Linked DNA regions of Anolis sagrei. The protein of the gene in region 2 purifies or fractionates together with the protein of the main gene of each other region. This does not show direct contact. Links are inferred from orthologs where the notes say so. Each region holds a gene or a part of one and is shown on either strand. Other genes may lie near its edges.

Evidence for each region. The genes of interacting proteins can lie anywhere in the genome.
Region 1: the proteins of L3MBTL2 (region 2) and MGA purify together in Homo sapiens (affinity purification with mass spectrometry; 3 studies listed by BioGRID and IntAct, counting the BioPlex papers as one, with this or other methods). This does not show direct contact. The link is inferred for Anolis sagrei from reciprocal best matches to the Homo sapiens genes L3MBTL2 and MGA.
Region 3: the proteins of L3MBTL2 (region 2) and E2F6 purify together in Homo sapiens (affinity purification with mass spectrometry; 5 studies listed by BioGRID and IntAct, counting the BioPlex papers as one, with this or other methods). This does not show direct contact. The link is inferred for Anolis sagrei from reciprocal best matches to the Homo sapiens genes L3MBTL2 and E2F6.

The regions. Positions count from the first base shown.
Region 1 is NC_090021.1:288,160,483-288,167,407, forward strand, and holds the start of MGA (MAX gene-associated protein), read right to left. Parts: upstream 3,020-6,925; 5' UTR 2,798-3,019; intron 1-2,797. UniProt on the Homo sapiens protein: Functions as a dual-specificity transcription factor, regulating the expression of both MAX-network and T-box family target genes. Functions as a repressor or an activator.
Region 2 is NC_090025.1:161,726,507-161,734,366, reverse strand, and holds the start of L3MBTL2 (lethal(3)malignant brain tumor-like protein 2), read left to right. Parts: upstream 1-4,846; 5' UTR 4,847-4,941; coding exon 4,942-4,962; intron 4,963-7,860. UniProt on the Homo sapiens protein: Putative Polycomb group (PcG) protein. PcG proteins maintain the transcriptionally repressive state of genes, probably via a modification of chromatin, rendering it heritably changed in its expressibility.
Region 3 is NC_090021.1:130,947,663-130,955,482, forward strand, and holds the start of E2F6 (transcription factor E2F6), read right to left. Parts: upstream 3,020-7,820; 5' UTR 3,005-3,019; coding exon 2,822-3,004; intron 1-2,821. UniProt on the Homo sapiens protein: Inhibitor of E2F-dependent transcription. Binds DNA cooperatively with DP proteins through the E2 recognition site, 5'-TTTC[CG]CGC-3'. Has a preference for the 5'-TTTCCCGC-3' E2F recognition site.

The sequences.
Region 1 (6,925 bases), on a different chromosome or scaffold from region 2:
TAAAAACTCTGGCATAGACTTTGAGAACTGGGAAGCCCTGGCCCTTGAGCGCTTCAGCTGGAGGTCAGCTTTGACCAGCAGTGCTGCAGAATTTGAAGAGGCACGAATGGAGGGTGAAAGAGAGAAACGTGCCAAGAGGAAGGCGCGTCAAGCCAACCCCAACCGAGACTGCCTTCCACCTGGAAATCAATGCCTTCACTGCAGGAGAAGATGCAGATCAAGAAGAGGACGCCACAGCCACCTAAGGAACCAACAAGAATACTGCCCCGGAAGACTATTCTACTCGGCCAACGAGGGATTGCCTAAGTAAGTGAGCACTCAACATGTATAATTCTGACGCTGATTTTAGCTGTTTTATGCTTTTATTGTATCACAATCTAACTTGTTGCAGTACCATTTTGAAAAACCTGCACATACACTTCTTGTTGTGTGTCTTCAAATAATTTCAAGTCCTTAGATAATGAAATTTCCCCAAGGACATCCAGTGGGTTTCCATAGCTGAGTGAGGATTTGGATCCTGGTTTCCAGAGCCATAGCCCAATGTTCAAACCGTTACAGGACACTGCCTCTCACTCAACATACAGATCATCAGTGGTTTCCAACCTTTGGCCCTTTGGATGTTTTGGACTTTAGATCCCACAATTCCTAATAGGCTGAGATTTCTGGAAGCCCAAACTGTTTGGGATTTCTGGGAGTTGAAGTCCAAAACACAGGAAAGACCAAAGGTTGGGAACCACTGAGATAGATCAATGAATAAAAAAGGTAAAAGTTTCCCCTTGACATCTGTCCGACTCTGGTGGTGGTGCTCATCTCAATTTCTAAGTCGAAGAGCTGGCGTTGTCCATAGACCCCTCTAAGATTATGTGAACGGCATGACTGCATGGAGCACCGTTACCTTCCCGTTTGGGGTGGTCCCTATCAATCTACTCACATTTGCATGTTTTCGAACTGCTAAGTTGGCGGAAGCTGGGCCTAACAGCAGGAGCTCACCCCGCTCCCTGGATTTGAATACTAGTAAGAATATATTATATTGAAATATTAGGATTTTGCTTGATGTTAGTGCTGATCAACAAATATTGTTAACATTTGTTTAAAGTACTTAATAGAAAGAAAGCACATCTGATGAATCCTAAGACTTAACTTTTCACACTTAAGACAAGGTTACAAACAAGTGGTCCCGCAACATGCTTGAAGATGGAGATTCTGAAACAATCCACCAATATTCAGCCAATCAGTGCTTGTGACCTTCTGACCAGGAGTGGTTCCACGCTGCAGAATTAATGCAGTTTTGACACCCATTTAATTGCCTTGACTGAATGCTACAGAATCCTATAAGGCCAGCACAGGCAAACTTTGGCCCTCTGGGTGTTTTGGACTTCAACATCACTATCGGCTGTTAGGAATTGTGGGAGGGACTTGGTGTCCAAACACTCCGAGGGCTGAAGTTTGCCCATGCCTGCTCTAGATCTCCAAGTGTTTTGGAATTCCAAGTCCCTGAAGCCTCAACTGTCTTGGCCAACAATATGGGATTCTGGGACCTGAAGCACAAAACACTTGGAAAAGCGATGTGGTCACAGCCCTGGAAGTCCTAATACAGCATTTCTCAACTTGGGTGTCAGGACCCCGGGGGGGGGGGGGGTTCGAGGGGGTGTCAGAGACCATCAGAAAACACAGTATTTTGTTGGTCATGAGGATTCTGTGTGGGAAGTTTGGCCCAATTCTATCGCTGGTAGGGTTCAGAACACTCTTTGATTGTAGGTGAACTATAAATCCCAACAACTACAACTCCCAAATGTCAAGGTCTATTTTCCCCAAACTAAACCAGTGTTCGCATTTGAGCATATTGAGTATTGGTCCAGATCTATCATTGCTTAAGTCCACAGTGCTCTCTGGATGTAGGTGAATTACAATTCCAGAACTTAAGGTCAATGCCTATCAAACCCTTCCAGTATTTTCTGTTGGTCATGGGAGTTCTGTGTGCCAAGATTGGTTCAATTCTTTCATTGGTGTGGTTCAGAATGCTCTTTGATTGCAGGTTAACTATAAACCCCAGCAACTACCACTCCCAGATGACAAAATTAATCTCCCCAAACCCACCAAATTTGGGCATATAGGGTATTTGTGCCAAAATTGGTCCAGTGAATGAAAATGCATCCTGAATATCAGATATTTACATCACGATTCATAACAGTAGCAAAATCATAGTTATGAAGTAGCAATGAAAATAATGTTATGGTTGGGGGTCACCACAACGTGAGGACCTGAATTATGGGGTTGCGACATTTAGAAGGCTGAGAACCACTGCCTTAAAGCGCCTCCACCCTCGTTTTCTTTTGATTATGTATTTCTTTCCACTGTTCTAGTGGGAAGGAAGCCTTCCGTCCCAAGGAACAACACTTGCTGGCCTCCCTCCCTTCCCCCGCCAGAAGCAGAGCTGCGTGGGGTGATTAGCCGGCGGACTTCAGCCACCAACAGGCCGAGGGAAGGCCTGAGCAAAAGCGCCCGGCGCCCCATAACAAGCCCCGCTCCCCTGGCCCCTCGGAGGCCAACAAGCTTCGAATGGGGAGCGCCCCGCGTGGCGAGATGCGCCTCCATGGCACGCGAGGAAACGACGCGATCACGCCTCCCCCCCCCCCCCAAGGGCCTCCGACAAGGCCCTCGCCCGCGGGTGTCCATTTTTGCCAGCCTCCTCCATAGGCAGGAGATGTGTGCGAGCCACGCGGGAAAATTGCGCGCGAGAGAACCTTTTCCTCCTCCATCCTCCACTCCCGGATTCGCGGCCCCACGCCAGACAGACCTTGTTCGGAGTCTTCCTCGGCGCTTCCCGCCATCCGGGGCCTGTCTCCGTCCCAGTCAGTCCGTCAATCAGTCACCGAGCGAAGCCATGGGCGCGCTCCCCCCCCCCTCCCCTCCTCTCTCCCTTCCCTGTCTTGTTGTGCTCTAGAATCAAATCGTGGAGAGGACAGCGTGCGCACGCACCCACCCATGTGACGTCGCCGGCGCGCGCCTCCCATGCCGCCTGCGCAGAGCCGGCCCCGCGCGCCGCCGCCGCCGCCGCCTCCTCGCCTGCGGGCTGTCACGTGCCCCGGCGCCTCCTTCCTTTCTCTGCTGCTCGGCCACATCCCCCTGCACCCACCTACTCTGCGCATGCGCTTTTCTCCCCCCCCCTCTCTCTCTCCTCTCTCTCAATCTCGCTTTCCTTTCCGCGCATGTTCTGTTCGCTTTTCCTCCTAAAGCTGTAGGCTACGTCGCGGAAGGTTCTGGAATGTTTGGGAGGGGGAGGGGGCGGGGAGTGGCAGTTATTTCCGCTGCTCGCGCGGTAGAGGGCCGCTCCTAACGCCGCCCCCTCCCCTCTTGTGGCCTGAATGGAAAGGGAGCGAGGCGGAGAGGCGCGTGCCCGCTTCTCCCGGAGGCCTCGCCTTGTGCCGCCTGCCTGCCTCGCTCTCGCGGAGCCATTGCGGGGGAGCCGTTGCGTTTCTTCGCGGTGCCTCCAGCCTTCTCTTCAGGCAAGACTGGCGCTTGGGCGTTTTGTCAAGCGCGAAGGCAGTCTCCATTCCCTCGCTTTTCGGCCTTTCTCCTCAGCGTGGCTCCTTCACGCGCGTTCGCGCGCCCCGATGAGAAGGGCTGAGAGAGAGGCAAATAGGACAATGTGTTGTCGAAGGCTTTCATGGCTGTGTGGCCATGTTCCAGAAGCATTCTCTCTCGACGTTTCGCCCACAACTATGCCAGGCATCCTCCAAGTCTGTTGGAAACTAGGCCAGTGAGGTTTATGTATCTGTAAAGGGAATTCCAGACAAGAATCAGTCAGGACAGCTAACACTCCAAACAAAGGATCGCTGCTGAAGAGCCTCCAGAGAAGGAAACTCCCATCATACTTTTTTTTTTTTGGTCGTGTCAGGAGCGACTGGAGAAACTGCAAGTCGCTTCTGGTGTGAGAGAATTGGCCGTCTGCAAGGACATTGCCCAGGGGACGCCTGGATGATTTTATGTTTTTATCATCCTTATGGGAGGCTTCTCTCATGTCCCCGCTCATCCACTTCTCCTCGAATTCGAACCTACAACCTGTCGGTCTTCAGTCCTGCCGGCACACGGGTTTAACCCACTCTGCCACCAGGGGCACCACCCCATCGTACTGCCAGGCAGCCTATGCCACTCTTATTTATTTATTTATTTCATATACTTGTACCCCGCCCTTCTCACCCCCGAGGGGGGACTCAGGGCGGCCTCACAGCAAACACCATTCGGTGCCATCATGATGATAAGAATAATCAACACATTCATTAAAACAAAACATTAAATATTAAATAAAACACGCCAATTAAAACCCAGGTCAATTCATTGTCACTTCAAAATTGCTGATGTCTTCATACAACCCGCTGTTCAATGGTCAAATGCAAGGTCCCACAGCCAAGTCTTGAGTTTTCTTCTAAAGGACAGGAGGGAGGTGGCCAGTCTGATGTCTTTGGGGAGGGAATTCCACAGACAGGGCCTTCTCAACACTTGCTCCCTGTCTGTGACAGGGAGCCACAGTTGAGAAGGCCCTGTCTCTCGTCTCCACCAATCAGGAATTTCTTCCTAATGTTTTCAGTCAAATCTTTTCCCCTGCCTTTTGAAACCATTGCTCCCCTATGCCCTGGTCTCCAGAGCAGCAGAAAGTCAGTTCCCCACTCCCCACCTCAATGGGGCAACCTTTTAAATCTTGAAACATGGTTTTCATGTTCCCTATCCACCTTCTCTTCTCCCAGCTAAACAAAGGACCTCCCCAGACAGCAATCAGCTATGCTTTGAAGCTGCAAGGCCATAATAATAGTTTATTTCTACCCTGCCATCATCTCCCAGAGGGACTCGGGATGGCTCACAGAACACTCAAGGTGTGGCATGCAAAATACAAGTGCAAAACGAAACATAAGACAATAAACAGTCAACACATCATAAATATACAGTATCCCCTAGTAAAAACAATAAAATACAGCAATTGCTATAGATGAGTGGTTCCCAACCTTTTTTTGACCAGGGACCACTTGACTATTGACTATGACCAGGAGCCACTCTCCAACATTAGTACCAAAAGGGTTACAAATCAGTTTTTGATCAACTTAGATTTGGTTTGGTGTGCTGATTCAGAAAATTGTATTGGCTAGACCACATCAGCTCTAGTTCTGATACAGAACATATGCCATGGTCAGAAGCAGGGAGTGGCAGACAGCGCGAAAGAGCGGAAATAAAATAAAGAGGAAGGAGGCTCGCGGACTAGATTTTCATCCTCATGGCCCACTGGTGGGCTGCAACCCACAGGTTAAGAAGCACTGCTGTAGGTAAAGTGGCATATTCAATCTCCGAATTCTAAAGTTCTAATAAAAAAATCTAAAGGTCCTCGTATGTATTATTAAAGAGATTAAACATGGTTTAATAATAAAATAATAATGATAAACTTTATTTATACCCCGCCACCATCTCCCCAATGGGGACTCAGAGCGGCTTACATGGGGCCAAGCCCAGACAACATATTACAGCAAAATAAAACCAAAACATAAACAACAAGCAACATCATCAAAATTACATAAAAAGAAAAAAATGAATACAGTAACAAAATAACATTCCAATAAACACAATCACGATAACAGTGGGCGGGCCACATGTACAGGATAAAAGGGCGAAAGGGATAAAGGAAGGCACATCAAGCCAATTGTTGTCAGGACCACTTTCCATCTGGAAATCTATGTTCTCGCTGCAATTGAACATGCAAATCAGGAATAGGTCTATACAGTCACCTACAGATCCACCATCGAGACCCTACACTTGGAAGGCAATCATACTCAACCACAAATGATAGTCTATGATTTTATTTATTTTTGTGTTAGAAGCAAATTGAGAATACAGTTATAATGTATCAAAGACTACAAAGTTAAAAACTTGGAATTATGCTAAATTTCCTTTGACCAGAAGCTGGCCACTTGTAATGCCTTTGATGTTACTGTAAGAAGGTCCTCCATTGTGCATGTGGCAGGGCTCAGACTGCATTTTAGTAGGTGGTCAGTGGTTTGTTCTTTTCCACACTTGCATGTCGTGGTCTATGATGATGATATCAAAGCATTCAAATTCAACATCCATTACTATAATAACCTGCAGAGCTACAGTTATAAACAATACTGGGCAGCACACATTTTGGCACCTCAAATGTTAGTCCTATTTCTGGGTATATTTAACCTTCTGATTCCAGAAATGGCACCAGTTTCCCCTATACTGTCTGTATTTCAGGTTTTTGAGCTGCAATATATGCCATCTACCAGTTGCCATGATAACCATATTGAAGAAATTAGAGCTGATGTGGCTATCCAATGCAATTTTCTGAAACAGTGCCCCAGTTTTTAGGAACAGGCCTAAAAATCGAGGTACCAAGAATTATTATTCTTTGTTGTGTTATAAGTGTTTTTATGTGGAGAAATGTGTGCCTGAGGTGATTGCTCTCTATTCATCTCATTCCAAGGAATAATGGGAACAGCCCATATCTTGCCTTTGTTTAACCTCTTCCACAAACTTTATCAAGATCAGGCAGTGATAATGTTTCATAACTGCTTTACAACTGAATAAACTACCACAAAAGCCAAGAGCATGTGTGCAGTTATGAACCTCATGTTTTAATATTTGTTTCAGTGAAAAAGGAAGAGGTATAAGGCTTGAAAAGGAACATCTTGACCATTCATTTACAAAGGAAGGTGCCATCTCTTAGTTCTGTAACATCACATTGGTTGCTCTTTTTTGGGTTTTTTTTTTTTTGCAGATATTTGCAGCAAAGGCCTGTAATGAAGAGCTTTCCACCCAAAAAAAGGAATAGAAAGAAAGATAAAGGTGCTCTTAACAGTAATACTGGATCTAGAACATGAGGTGTTTTGAAAGGACCACTATCTTGAATTTAGCCATCCTC
Region 2 (7,860 bases):
TCTGTATCTAACCTGTACGGTTCTGTTCTGTGCTTTTAAAATGTTTGAGACTATCAACTCACCCTCCGCATGTGAGGTTCACTCAGTGATACGGTTTTTGTCAGCAAAGAACCTGCCTGCTGCAGAAATTCATCGACAGATTTGTGAAGTGTATGGTGATACCGTTATGAGTGAAAACAAAGTGCGTAAGTGGGTACGACAATTCAAAGATGGCCGTGACGTCCATGATGAGGACTGCTCCGGTCGCCCTTCTTTGATTACAGTGAGCTCTTGGTTATCGGAGCAGGTGGCAAGTTTTTATGAAGAGGGTATTTTAAAATTGGTTCAGAGGTATGATAAGTGTTTGAACAAACTTATTTATTATTTATTATTTATTTATTTACTTTATTTCTATACCGCTTTTCTCAGCCCTCAGGCGACTCAAAGCGGTGAACAACATCAGTACAAAATATCACAAAACAAGTATAGGGCAATTAAAAACAATTATCACATAAATCATTAACATCAGTATAACAATCATTAGCGCCTCAACAGTAAAATCAGAATCCAGTCTTGTCATCCATTATTCCATATTCCTATGTTCAATAACACTGTTTAATCAAATGCTTGTTCGAACAGCCAGGTCTTCACTTTCCTCCGAAATGCCAGCAGGGAGGGGGCCAATCTGATATCTGCAGGCAGGGCGTGCCACAGCCGAGGGGCCACCACTGAGAAGGCCCTGTCTCTCGTCCCCGCCAAGCGCACCTGTGATGCAGGTGGGACCGAGAGCAGGGCCTCCCCAGATGATCTTAGTGTCCTAGTGTCCTAAACTTGGCAACTATGTCGAAAAATAGAGTGAAGTATGTACTTTCTGAAAATAAATTTACTTTTTTGAAATAAACTTTCGTTGTGTACTTACGTTCAAACGGACCTTACTTAAAAAATACCCCTCGTAAATCAGAAACCAACACTTTCTCTTTACTTTATTTTTCAGATCACCAGACTGGGCCACAGCAACGCGTGGCAGGGGACAGCTAGTTTATTTATATAACCTGTGTATAACTCTTTGCTAATCTGTTATCTAAAGATCCAAATATTCCAAAACCCAATATTGTCCACATATTATGATTAGGATTAAATGAGCCCTACACAATGGGGCTCCAGCAAAGGATCGCCGCCTTGTCGGGGCGCTGGAGCTTGAGCACCTCAATGATGTCATGAGCGAAACCGTGAAGGGCCACCCAAGACGGGACGGTTGTGGCAGAGAGGTCAGACCAAGCGTGATCCCTGGGGAAGGCAATGGCAAACCACTCCAGTATCCTTGCCAAGAAAACTAAATGGACCAGTACAACCAGAGATATGTCGGTATGCCATTGGAAGATGGGACTCCCAGGTCGGAAGATGGCCAAAATGCTACTGGGGAGGAGCAGAGGATAAGTTCAACTAGCCCCAGATGTGATGACGCAGCTAGCTCAAAGCCGAAAGGAAGGCTAGCGGCCGACGGTACTGGAGGCGAACGACGAATCCGATGCTCTAAAGATCAACACACCATAGGAACCTGGAATGTAAGATCTATGAGCCAGGGCAAATTGGATGTTGTTATTGGTGAGATGTCAAGACTAAAGATAGACATTCTGGGGGTCAGCGAACTGAAATGGACTGGAATGGGCCACTTCACATCAGATGACCACCAGATCTACTACTGCGGACAAGAGGAACATCGAAGAAATGGAGTAGCCTTCATAATTAATAAGAAATTCGCTAAAGCGGTGCTTGGATACAACCCAAAAAATGACAGAATGATGTCAATTCGAGTGCAAGGAAAGCCTTTCAACATCACAGTGATCCAAATATACGCCCCAACCACAGCTGCTGAAGAAGCAGAAGTAGATCAGTTCTATGAGGATCTGCAGGACCTACTGGATAATACACCAAAAAGAGACATTATTTTCATTACAGGAGACTGGAATGCCAAGGTGGGAAGTCAAATGACAACTGGGATCACAGGCAAGCATGGTCTGGGAGAACAAAATGAAGCGGGACGCAGGCTGATAGAATTCTGCCAGGAAAACTCGCTGTGTATAACGAATACTCTCTTCCAACAACCTAAAAGACGGCTTTATACATGGACCTCACCAGATGGTCAACACCGAAATCAGATTGACTACATCCTTTGCAGCCAAAGGTGGCGGACATCCATCCAGTCGGTGAAAACAAGACCTGGGGCTGACTGTAGCTCAGATCACGAACTTCTTATTGCCCAATTTAGAATAAAACTAAAGAGATCAGGTAAAATACACAGACCAGTTAGATATGATCTCACTAACATTCCTAGCGAATATACAGTGGAAGTGAAGAACAGATTTGAAGGACTAGATTTAGTAAACAGAGTCCCAGAAGAACTATGGACAGAAGTCCGCGACATTGTTCAGGAGGTGGCAACAAAGTACGTTCCAAAGAAAAAGAAACCGAAGAAGGCAAAATGGTTGTCTGCTGAAACACTGGAAGTAGCCCAAGAAAGGAGGAAAGCAAAAGGAAACAGTGAAAAGGGGAGATATGCCCAGTTAAATGCGCAATTCCAGAGGTTAGCCAGAAGAGATAAGGAACTATTTTTAAATAAGCAATGCATGGAAGTGGAAGAAGACAACAGAATAGGAAGGACAAGAGACCTCTTCCAGAAAATTAGAAACATTGGAGGTAAATTTCAGGCAAAAATTGGTATGATAAGAAACAAAGATGGCAGGGACCTAACAGAAGCTGAAGAGATCAAGAGAAGGTGGCGAGACTATACAGAAGATCTGTATAGGAAGGATAACAATATCGAGGATAGCTTTGACGGTGTGGTGAATGAATTAGAACCAGACATCCTGAGGAGTGAGGTTGAATGGGCCTTAAGAAGCATTGCTAACAACAAGGCAGCAGGAGATGATGGGATCCCAGCTGAACTGTTTAAAATCTTAAAAGATGATGCTGTCAAGGTGATGCATGCCATTTGCCAGCAAATATGGAAAACACAAGAATGGCCATCAGACTGGAAAAAATCAACTTATATCCCCATACCAAAAAAGGGAAATGCGAAAGACTGCTCCAACTTCCGTACAGTGGCCCTTATTTCTCATGCCAGTAAGGTAATGCTCAAGATCCTGCAAGGAAGACTCCAGCAATACATGGAGCGAGAGTTGCCAGATGTTCAAGCTGGGTTTAGAAAAGGCAGAGGAACGAGAGACCAGATTGCCAATATCCGCTGGATAATGGAGAAAGGCAGGGAGTTTCAGAAAAACATCTACTTCTGCTTCATTGACTATTCTAAAGCCTTTGACTGTGTGGATCATAATAAATTGTGGCAAGTTCTTGGTGGGATGGGCATACCAAGCCACCTTGTCTCTCTCCTGAGGAATCTGTACAAGGACCAAGTAGCAACAGTCAGAACTGACCACGGAACAACAGACTGGTTCAAGATTGGGAAAGGCGTCCGGCAAGGCTGCATACTCTCACCCAACCTTTTTAACTTGTATGCAGAACACATCATGCGATGTGCGGGGCTGGATGAATGCAAAGCTGGGGTGAAAATTGCTGGAAGAAACATTAACAACCTCAGATATGCAGATGACACCACTCTGATGGCCGAAAGCGAGGAGGAGCTGAGGAGCCTTCTAATCAAGGTGAAAGAAGAAAGCGCAAAAGCCGGGTTGCAGCTAAACGTCAAAAAAACCAAGATTATGGCAACAAGAATGATTGACAACTGGAAAATAGAGGGAGAAACCGTGGAGGCCGTGGCAGACTTTGTATTTCTAGGTGCAAAGATTACTGCAGATGCAGACTGTAGCCAGGAAATCAGAAGACGCTTACTTCTTGGGAGAAGAGCAATGTCCAGTCTCGATAAAATAGTGAAGAGTAGAGACATCAGACTTGCAACAAAGATCCGCCTAGTCCAAGCCATGGTATTCCCTGTAGTCACCTACGGATGTGAGAGCTGGACCTTAGGGAAGGCTGAGCGAAGGAAGATCGATGCTTTTGAGCTGTGGTGTTGGAGGAAAGTTCTGAGAGTGCCTTGGACTGCGAGAAGATCCAACCAGTCCATCCTCCAGGAAATAAAGCCCGACTGCTCACTGGAGGGAAAGATACTAGAGACAAAGCTGAAGTACTTTGGCCACATCATGAGGAGACAGGAAAGCCTAGAGAAGACAATTATGCTGGGGAAAGTGGAAGGCAAAAGGAAGAGGGGCCGACCAAGGGCAAGATGGATGGATGGCATCCTTGAAGTGACTGGACTGACCTTGAGGGAGCTGGGGGTGGTAACGGCCGACAGGGAGCTCTGGCGTGGGCTGGTCCATGAGGTCACGAAGAGTCGGAGACGACTGAACGAATGAACAACAACACACAATGGGGAGGGATTCAGGCCTGGCCAAGCCTCTCCCTCAGAAAGGGGAGTTAATAATGGCAAGTTAATGCAGCCTGCCCTCGCTGTTTGTTTGTCTATGTCGTGAATACGAAGCCAATGAAGCCGGAACACAAAGTCCAGGTGACCTTTCCCTCCCTCCCTTTGCCCCCTTTGGAGCCATTCTCATACAACAGAACTGAGGGACCATGACCGTTTTCCTTTCAAGGGCCAAAACCAAATTGCTTGGACATCCTCCAAACGTCTCTTCAACCTTTAGCGAGGTCAGGAATACAACTCCCGAAATGCTTTGGGGCAGCGGGCGTGTGGCTTCCTCCCTCCCTCGGAGTGTTTCCGCTGCCACCGCCGATCCTCTCTTCCCATTGGCGGAAGCGAGAACGCGCCTAAGCCAATGGGCTTTCGAGGACCGCGAAGCTGCCCTGACTCCTGGCGGCGGCTCGTGCCTCCCGCGAGTCGGGGGGCGCATGCGCAAGCGCTCGTGCGCGCTCGCACTCGCGCTCGCGCTGCTTTGGTGCCTGAGGTAAATAGTACCCGCTTCTCTGCAGAGGGGGCGGAAGAAAGCCATGGAGCGGGATGAAAGCGAGGTAAAGCAAGCCTGCTGCTGCTGTTGTGGGAAATTGGTGCGAGGTGGAGAAGCGAGAGGCAGCTTCCGTCCTCCTCAATGAATCCCTAGGGAAAGCATTGGCGGTGCTTTCCGTGTTGCGTGTTCCTTGGCCAAAGGGAATGTCACAAAAAGGCAGAGAGGTTTGTGCTACGAGTTGAGTGAGCATCCCTCGCCTGGAAATCCAAAAATACTCAACACGAGTGGATGAGCCGGGGACTCCTTTGCTTCCCTGTGATTGTGGATACACAAAGTATGTTTTCATGCAAAAATTATTACAAATATTGTGCATAAAATCGCCTTCAGTATGAAATCTCTTGCTTAGGCCTAGGTCCCATCTCAAAGGGCCGTTCAACACAGCCATATAACCCATAATATCAAGGCAGGAAATCCCACAATATCTGCTTTGAATGGAATTATATGGCAGTGTGGACTCGGATAACCCAGTTCAAAGCAAATATTGTGGAATTTCCTGTCTAGATATCCTGGGTTGCATGGATGTGTGGAAGGGCCCTAGATTGTCTCTTTACGTTTATGCAAATACAGCAGGTTCTCCATTAAGACCAGGTAAATTCAGTGGTTGTTTGAGACTATTAAAAACAGGCCTAATGAATACTATATTCCAGGCACTACTTCTTACTTACTTAGGCGATCCTTCATAGTCCGAGAATGATGGTCCTCCAAGTTCAGTGTTCTGGCAGTGGGTCCATAGGTGACTGTGGAGCCCTATTCTTGACTTGCATCTTCTCCCGCAGTGAGGGCATTGGTTTCCAGGTGGAAGGTGGTCCCGGTCGGGGTTGGCTTGACGCGCCTTCCTCTTGGCACGTTTCTCTTTCGCCCTCCATTCGTGCCTCTTCAAATTCTACAGCACTGCTGGTCACAGCTGACCTCCAGCTGAAGCGCTCAAGGGCCAGGGCTTCCCAGTTCTTGGTGTCTATGCCAGAGTTTTTAAGGTTGGCTTTGAGCCCATCTTTCAATCTCTTTTCCTGTCCTCCAACATTCTGTTTTCCTTGAGTTCGGAGTAGAGCAACTGCTTTGGGAGGCGGTGGTCAGGCATCCGGACAACGTGGCTGGTCCAGCGGAGTTGATAGCGGAGGAACATCGCTTCAAGTCTGGTGGAGGGCCGGAGGGCCAAAGCTTGCCCATGCCTGGGATCTTTGCAAAGCAAAGCAAAGATGTCAGGCATAGTCAAGCTTCGGCCCTATGGGAGTTGCTGGAAGTCCAAAAGACCTAGAGGGCCAAAGTTTGTCCATGCCTGTTATATCCCACACTGTGCCATACCAAAAACTCTGTATTGACTTGATATTAATTTTTTTCATGTCAGTAGCGACTTGAGAAATTGCAAGTTGCTTCTAGTGTGAGAGAATTGCCCGTCTGCAAGGATGTTGCCCAGGGGACACCCAGATGTTTTACCATCCTGTGGGAGGCTTCTCTCTTGTCCCCCACATGGGAAGCTGGAGCTAGCAGACAGGAGCTTGCCCCACTCCCCAGATTTGAACCGCCAACCTTTCAGTCGGCAGTCCTGCCTGCACAAGGGTTTAACCCATTGTGCCACCAGGGGCTCCAATATTATTGAAATACAGTAATTAAAAGTAAATAAATACAAGCTCAATGTAACACAGTTTTACTGTACAGTATTGTAAAAACAGATTTGTGAATTCACTATTATTGGATTTATTTCTTTATTTATTGCCGGTTGCTTGAGTTCCAGGTAATAGAGTCTACAGTATACCAAAATCCAAATCAGTAATCCAAAACACTTCTGATTTTAAGCATTTTTGATAATGGATACTCAACCTGTAATAGCTTTTTGGGGCCAAACTAAAAATCTCAAAATTCTGTGAAAACCAAGGCAAAAGTTTATTCATCGCATATATATAGTCTTTAAGGAGAATGACAATAACATTTATTTCTCCATTTGATAATATAAAGAGATCATTTGAGAACTTAACATTTGCCTTTATCTACTGTGAAGATCACAGTGTCTTTAATCTCCAGATACATATTTGGGGATAAGTTCTACTGCGTTTTATAAATTTTACAATTTTTTGAGATGGGTTTTTTATGTGTGTTCGTTGTTCTTAGACTTATATTGTTGTTTATATGCTTGTGTATTGTTGTTTTATATACGGCACTTCACAGTGCTTCTGTGAGCCAATCCAAGTCCCTTCGGGGAGATGGTGGCAGGGTACAAATAAACTTATTATTATTATTATTATTATTACTAAGTCAAAGCAAGTAAAAAAAATCAGTTTGGATAATTTGTCTTCAGTTAATGGGAACATTATCGCTGATAAAATAAAGTCCTAGTTTAAGATGAAATAAGTTCCTCTCTCTGCCTTTGCATGCATGCTTAATTTTTGTTTGACCTAGTGAAGATATTTGCATTTTTAAAAGCTTGTATAGATTGAGTATCCCTTATCTAAAATTCTTGGAAAACGGAATGTTTTGGATTTCATTTTTTTTTATTTTGGAATATCCATATTTCCATACACATACATAATATCTTGAAGATGGGACCCATGGCTTAAAAGGAATTTTATTTATATTTAATAAACATTTTATACAGTCAGTCCCCAAGTTACAAACATCCAACTTACAAGCGACTCATAGTTAAGAATGGGAATGAGACAACAGGAAGTGAGAAAAATCTACTCCTCGGAAGGGAAATTCATTCCTAAACGAGTTATCATGGGGAAAAGGTGTCTTCACTAAAGCTTTCTCACCTAACCTTGTTTCCACAACAAGCCAAATTTTTCAAAATCTTGATTATCACAGGGGCAGAAGTGAGGTGAAATCTTACGAACAGGGCACAGGCAGCAAAACTAACTCCACAGGGATGTTAGCCCTTTCTTATGCTATCCAAAGCGCAGTATATATA
Region 3 (7,820 bases), on a different chromosome or scaffold from region 2:
GATGGTAAAGTGGAAGCTCCCGCTGTGGCCAAAATCGAGCATACCCTCATGAAGCTGGAAAGCTGGAATGTTAAATTGCCTCTGTGTCTATCTATATATGTTGAATGTCTAATAGCATTGAATGTTTGCCATGTATATGTGAATTGTAATCCACCCTGAGTCCCCTATGGGGTGAGAAGGGTAGAATATAAATACTGTAAATAAATAAATAAGCAAATAAGTGTGAAAGCATCTGTGGACCCTTCTAGGCAGTCATATAAACCAGAATATCAAGGCAGAAAATCACTGCTTTGAACTGGGTTATCTGAGTCCACACTGCCATATATTCTAGTTCAAAGTAGATAATGTGGGATTTTATTCAGATGTGTGGAAGGGGCCCATGTGTCCAAAATGCTCATCCTGTAACAAATGTGACATAATCATGCTATTACACTATGTAACATAATTTTTGTTCCTGGGTTATAAATGTCACTTTCAAAGTGGGTTGTATCATTAAAAACATTGAAAAAGTTTGTTAAACTACAAAAACAAAAACATCTTTGCGGGACATCCTGCTATAGTTTTTCAATGGATATCTCAAGTCTCACCCAATTCAACATAATTTATGGCAGCCACAAAAAACAAAGTTTCTGGAGTAGAACAACTATTTTCAAACTAAGTTCTGCACAATTAAACTGGGAATAACACTTTCCAACCTGGAAAATATATTTTTCAAGTTTTGCTACATAGTGTTATTTATATCTCCACTTTTGAATGAGACTCAACGCTGATACAGGGGATATTGGTACAAAGGCTTTATGGATAATCTGTAACAATGTTTGCTCTTGAAATAATTCCTCCAACAAAAGAGATAGGAACGCTGGCAGGAAAAGTGGACAAAAAGGTCCTCCACAAAGGTAGTAAAAAGCGAGGAGATCTAGCTTCTTGTATATAAATACATAGCTATAGACCTTTCGTGTTCTAGCTTTCTAAACATACATGACAGAAAAGCAGAACACAAATAATGAAGAAACTAAGGGCCCTTCCACACAGCCATATATCTCAGAATATCAAGAAAGAACATCCCACAATATCTGCTTTGAAGTGGGTTATCTGAGGCCACACTGCCATATATTCCAGCAGAGGCTGGATGGCCATCTGTCTGGGCTGCTTTGAATGCAATTTTCCTGCTTCTTGGCGGGGGGTTGGGCTGGATGGCCCACAAGGCCTCTTCCAACTCTATATGGTAGCGAGGACTGAGACAACCCAGTTCAAAGCAGATATTGTGGATTACCTGCCTTGATATTCTGGGGGCCCTTCCATTCAGCAATATCCCAGAATACTTGTAAGGTAGGTAAACAAACACAATATAGTCAATGCAATAGGAGAACTGTAATGACCATACAGTGTTCCTTCACTTACTGTGGGTGTTACGTTCCAGGACCTCCCGCAATAAGTGAAAAACTGTGATGTAGGGACTTGCTATTTATCTTAATATTTATACATTATTTTAGGAGTTATATGCTATTTTAAGTCTTTATACACTTAAAAAAAGTGAAGGAAAGGAAGGAAAGGCCCTTCAAGGCTGGAGGGAGGACTGAGGAGGGAAAGCGCCTTGGAGAGCAGCAGCAACAAAAACCCACAAAACAGCAAAAAAACAAACAAACAAACAAACACCCTGCGATATATATTTTAAATTAATATTTTTTGAAAACTGCAAAACAGCGAGCCTGCTGAAACCGAACCGTGAAGTAGTGAGGGAACACTGTATAGGATATAGTGACAGTGAATTGGGGGTTTTGGTGTCACTATATGCTATACTGCATAGACTATATTGTGTTTGTTTACGGCCCTTCCACACAGCCATATCAAAGCAGAAGATCCCACAATACCTGCTTTGAACTGGGTTATCTGAGGGCCCTTCCACACAGCCCTATATCCCTGAATATCAAGGCAGATAACCCACAATATCTGCTTTGAATTGAGTTATTTGAGTCCATATAATCCAGTTCAAGGAGCCCCTGGTGGCACAGTGGGCTAAAGCGCTGAGCTGATGAGCTTGTTGACTGAAAGGTCACAGATTTGAATCCCAGGAACAGCGTGAGCTTCCGCTGTCAGCCCCAGCTTCTGCCAAACTAGCAGATCAAAAACATGCAAATGTGAGTAGATCAATAAATATCGCTCCGGTGGGAAGGTAATGGTGCTCCATGCAGTCATGCCTATGGCCACATGACCTTGGAGGTGTCTATGGACAATGCTGGCTCTTTGGCTCAGAAATGGAGATGAGCACCACACTTGAGAGATGGACACGACTGGATGTCATGTCAGGGAAAAAGCTTTACCTTTTCCTAACCCAGTTCAAAGCAAATACTGTGGGGTTGTATACAGCTGTGTGGAAGGGGCCTGAGTCCACGCTGCCATATATCCCAGTTCAAAGCAGATAATGTGGGATTGTCTACAGCTGTGTGGAAAGCCCCTTAGGCCCATCTACACTGTGGAATTGAGGCAGTCTGGCCCTGCTTTATGGCTCAAGGCCCTGGGAGTTGCAGATGGGTGTGCTCTTTCCCCCTTTCCCCTCCAAGCCAGAAAAGGGAAGAGTGCCTCCAAGTGCAGTCATGCTGGCCACATGACCTTGGAGGTGTCTACGCACAATGCCAGGGTGGAGTGAGCACCCAAAAGGAAAGAGCCCGGCCTCGTCCTGGTTGTTTTCAGGCTAGGTCCAGAGAAAGAGATTTCCCCTCCTCCTTTCCTCTTTGTGGCTTTTCTCCCACCCAGGAAAAATTCCCAGACCCTGCCAAAGGAGAGGCGCTTCTAAGCAACCCAGCCAAGAGGGAAGACTCACTTCCTGCCAGTCCAGCGACTCCTCCAAGCTCTCGGGCGAGACCGGGGCCGCCATCCTGGCCCAGCCTCTTCCTCCTCCTCTTCCTTTTCCTCCTCTGATGGGAGGAGGAGCCGCGGGTGACGAGGCAGAGGCAGCCAGCAGGGCCCGCCTCCAGTGGCTTCCCCATCCCCGCCAGCTCTCCATGTTGGACAGAGACTGAGAATCCTCCATAGGGACTACCAAACGCAGCGTTGCCCCAACCTGAATCAAGGAACAGACTAAGCCAACCAGAGAAGTCAGCCATAGCAGAGCACCTAATCAGCCAACCTGGGCACAGCATATTATTTGAGAACACAGAAGTGCTGGACCAGCCTCAACCAGCATGTCAGGATACACAGAGATGCTATTGAAATCCACAAGCATGGGATCAATTTCAACACAAAGGAGAAAACCATGAAAATGAACAAAATCTGGCTACCAGTATTTAAAAAAACTCTAAAATCAGGACAGTCAATAAAGAGCAACACTCAGGGGAATTCCTGACATGAAACAATCAAGGCCAGCTAACACCTCCCAACAAAGGATTCCCCAGGCAGGAATCAGCCAGTCTTTGCAGCTGCAGTGCTAATCAAGGTGGCCATTTGCAACATTCACATCTATATAAATATAAATGTAATGTCCGTTTGTGGGATTAACATAATTCAAAACCCACTGGACGAATTGACACCAAATTTGGACACAACACGTATCAGGCCAAAGAGTGACCATCACTAAAAAAATATGATTTTGTCATTTGGGAGTTGTAGTTGTTGGGATTTATAGTTCACCTAAATTAAAGCATTCTGAACCCCACCAATGATAGAATTGAACCAAACTTCCCACACAGAACCCCCATGACCAACAAAAAATACATAAGGCCATCCAGTCCAACTCCCTTCACCATGGCAAGAAAATGTAATCAAAACCCTCCTGACAAAGAGCCACCCAACCATAGATATAGATACATATGATTGACACACACAGAGATATAGTATCCTAGATTTGAAAAAAAAGGACAATGATATGTTGCCTGTTTCTGTGTAGGCAAACCTGACAATCTCTACATCAACACTGACAAAGAAACAGCAAGAAATACTGTTTACCCACAAGCAGCAATAAATTATATATATTACAATCCAACACTTTCTCATTACTTCATTTTCCAGATCACCAGACTGGGCCACAGCAACGCCTGGCAGGGGAAGACTAATTCAATTATAAAAGTAAATAAAGAACAAATCTCAAACACAGGGAAACTCTAGTCAGGAAACAATCAGAGACAGCTAATCACCTCTCAACAAAGGATTCCCCCAGGCAGTAACAAGTCACACTTAAAAACTTTCAGGCCATCAAATGCTAATGGTCCTTTGAAACATTCATAGCTAGCTCCAACAGACAAGAGTTCTTTCTCCCACCCTGGATTTTCTACTGATAAGTTGTTAATTTGTTCAGTTGCTTCCTACTGAATGAATGGACCAGCTCACAGCAGAGCTCTCAGCTCCTTCAATGTCAATCCAGTCACTTCAAGGATGCCATCCATCCATCTTGCCCTTGGTCGGCCCCTCTTCCTTTTCCCTTCCATTTTTCCCAGCAACATTCTCTTCTCCAAGCTTTCCTTTCTTCTCATGATGTGTCCAAAATACTGCATCTTGGCCTCTACTATCCTTCCCTCCAGTGAGCGGTCGGGCTTTATTTCCTGAAGTATGGATTGGTTGCATCTTCTGGCAGTCCAAGGCACTCTCAAACTTTCCTCCAGCACCACAGTCCAAAAGCATCTCTCTTCCTTTGCTCAGCCTTTCCTATGGTCCAGCTCTCACATCCATACAGGGAATACCATTGCTTTTACTATGCTTTTACTATTCCATTGATATATAAACCCAATATTCCTAGTTTCTAACAGACCTCACAACAAGCTTGGGCATCTTTAGTGTTTGCCTTTTTTGGTATGGGGATATAAATTGATTTTTTCCAATCTGATGTCAATTCTTGTGCTTTCCATATTTGCTGGCATATGGCATACGTGCATCACCTTGACAGCATCCTCTTTCAAGATTTTAAACAGTTCAGCTGGGATCTCGTCATCTCCTGCTGCCTTGTTATTAGCAATGCTTCTTAAGACCCATTCAACCTCACCTCTCAGGATGTTTGGTTCTATTTCACTCACCACACCGTCAAAGTTATCCTCAATACTATTATCCTTTTTATACAGATCTGCCACCTTCTCTTGATCTCTTCAGCTTCTGTTCGGTCCTTGCCTATAGAATACTGGAGTGTTCTTGGGCCCCACTAAATGCAAAGACTGAATTTTATGGAATTGTCTCATGTCAGTTAAAGTGGAATAATAGCACTATAACTATAGTGTGTAAGGAGCCCCCAGTGGTGCAGTGGGTTAAACCCTTGTGCCAGCAGGATTGAAGACCAACAGGTCACAGATTCGAATCTGGGGATAGCATGGATGAGCTCCCTCTTTCAGCTCCAGCTCCCCATGTGGGGACATGAGAGAAGTCTCCCACAAGGATGGTAGAACATCAAAAACATCAAAAACTGCACAACGTCTTTGCAGACAGCCAATTATCTCACACCAGAAGCAACTTGCAGTTTCTCAAGTTGCTCCTGACAAGAAAAAAAATTATAAGTCTAACGTAGATGATCATCAGTGGCTTTCAGTTAGTTCAAGTTGTTTCTTCCTTATTGTCCACCAGAGGGCAGCAATGTTATTTCCTAAGATTGTCATAACACTAGGTAACAAAATTTTTGTTCCTATGTTATAAATGTCGTTTCCTAATTGGTTCATTCATAAAACATGGAAAAAGTTTATTAAACTGAAATTTTTGTCCCTGTAGGACTTCCTGCATCACATTTGCTCTAGTTTTTCAATGCTTATCGCATCAAATCTCAACCAATTCAATATAGGGTTGCTGTGAGTTTTCCAGGCTGTATAGCCATGTTCCAGAAGCATTCTCTTCTGACATTTCACCCACATCTATGGCAGGCGTCCTCAGAAGTTGTGAGGTCTGTTGGAAACTAGGCAAGTGAGGTTTAGGGTGGGAGAAAGAACGCTTGTCTGCTTGAGGCAAGTGTGAATGTTGCAACTGGCCACCTTGATTAGCATTGGGTGGCCTTGCAGCTTCAAAGACTGACTGATTCCTGCCTGGGAAATCCTTTGTTGGGAGATGTTAGCTGGCTTTGATTATTTCATGTCAGGAATTCCTCTGAGTGTTGCTCTTTATTGACTGTTCTGATTTTCAAGTTTTTTTAAATACTGGTAGCCAGATTTTGTTCATGTTCATGGCTTCCTCCATTCTATTGAAATGCTTGTGGATTTCAATGGTTTCTCTTTCTAGTCTGACATGGTGGTTGCTAGAGTGGTCCAGCATTTCTGTGTTCTCAAATAATATGCTGTGTCAACAGGGGAACAACAGGAAAATTCCTGACATGAAATAATCAGGGCCAGCTAACACCTCCCAACTGGGCTTAAGTGGCTGAGAAGGGAATGAAAGGGCCTGAGGCTGTTAGGAATGGTGCGAGTTGAAGTCCAAAACACCCGGAGGGCCAAAGTTTGCCCATGCCTGGTCTACACTGTCCATATAATGCAGTTCCAAATTGCATTATATGCCAATGTAGATGGGGCCTCTGAAGTAGTTTTGCTTGTATTTTCACTCCATTTCTGATGTCAAATTGCTAAAATTAAATTACTAATACAAAATAGCTAGTATTATTATTTATCATTATTGTTCATCACGGACACATTGATTTAATGTGAGCCATGATGTGTTAAAGCAACGCTCCATCTCCTCGTTGTTAATTTCCTGTCAGACATATTGCACGGCAGAGATTTTGTTGAATGATGGCTAACATGACATGTAAACGCATGAATGACACACAATTTATCTTGTGATTTATGGCAATATTTCTGGCAATCATCTGTGAACTGAAACATACACAAAAGACTTCAGGGCTGGTTGCTCACCATCAATAATGTAAAAAAAAAGATTTATGCTTGAGCTGCTAAACAAGGAGGATTGCTTTATCATTTGGCCATGCAAGATGTGGAAAGCATGATAAATTAATTTACAAATGTATCTGTCCCATCTTTGGAACTGAAAAATGACAGACATTCAAAGCATAGCACAATTATGAATTTCAGTTGACAATGAAGAAGTTCCTGATGGCCATGAAACCATGCTTTAGAAAGTTTCTATTGATCCTCCATTGTGCATGTGGCAGGGCTCAGACTGCATTGTAGTAAGTGGTCTGTGGTTTGCTCTTCTCTCCACTTGCATGTTGTGGACTCCACTTTATAGCCCCATTTCTTAAGGTTGGCTCTGCATCTCGTGGTGCCAGAGCACAGCCTGTTCAGTGCCTTCAAAGTTGCCCCTGGGCTGAGAACAGCGGTATATAAGTAAAGTAAATAAATAAATAATAAATAAAGTTGTCCAGTCTTCAGTGTGCCCAGGAGGGAGTCTCTTATCCAATCTTAGCCACTTATTGAGGTTCTGGGTTTTAGCCTGCCACTTTTGGACTCTTGCTTGCCGAGATGTTCTTCCTACTATCTCTGTAGAGCTTAGAAAGCTATTTCACGAGTTAAGGTGTTGGCATGGTTGATATCCGAACAGAGGATGGGCTGGAGATGGCAATGTCTTATTTCTTTCATTACAGTCTGGTACTTATCAATGGTTGTCAGGTGATGAAATACCGGCTAAACAGTATAATTTCTCCAGTGGTGTAGGATGTAGACATCCTGTGATAATGCGGCATGTCTCATTAAGAGCCACATCCACTGTTTTAACGTGGTGCGATGTATTCCACACTGGGCATGCGTATTCAGCAGCAGAGTAGCAAAGTGCAAGGACAGATGTCTTCATTGTGTCACTGTCCAGAGTAAAGTTAGCTAAGGTATTGCTTTTAAACTATTCAATTTTTTCTTTTGAAGTGGTAGCTAAGAATTGTACTCTTCTATGCATGGTTTGCATATTCCTTC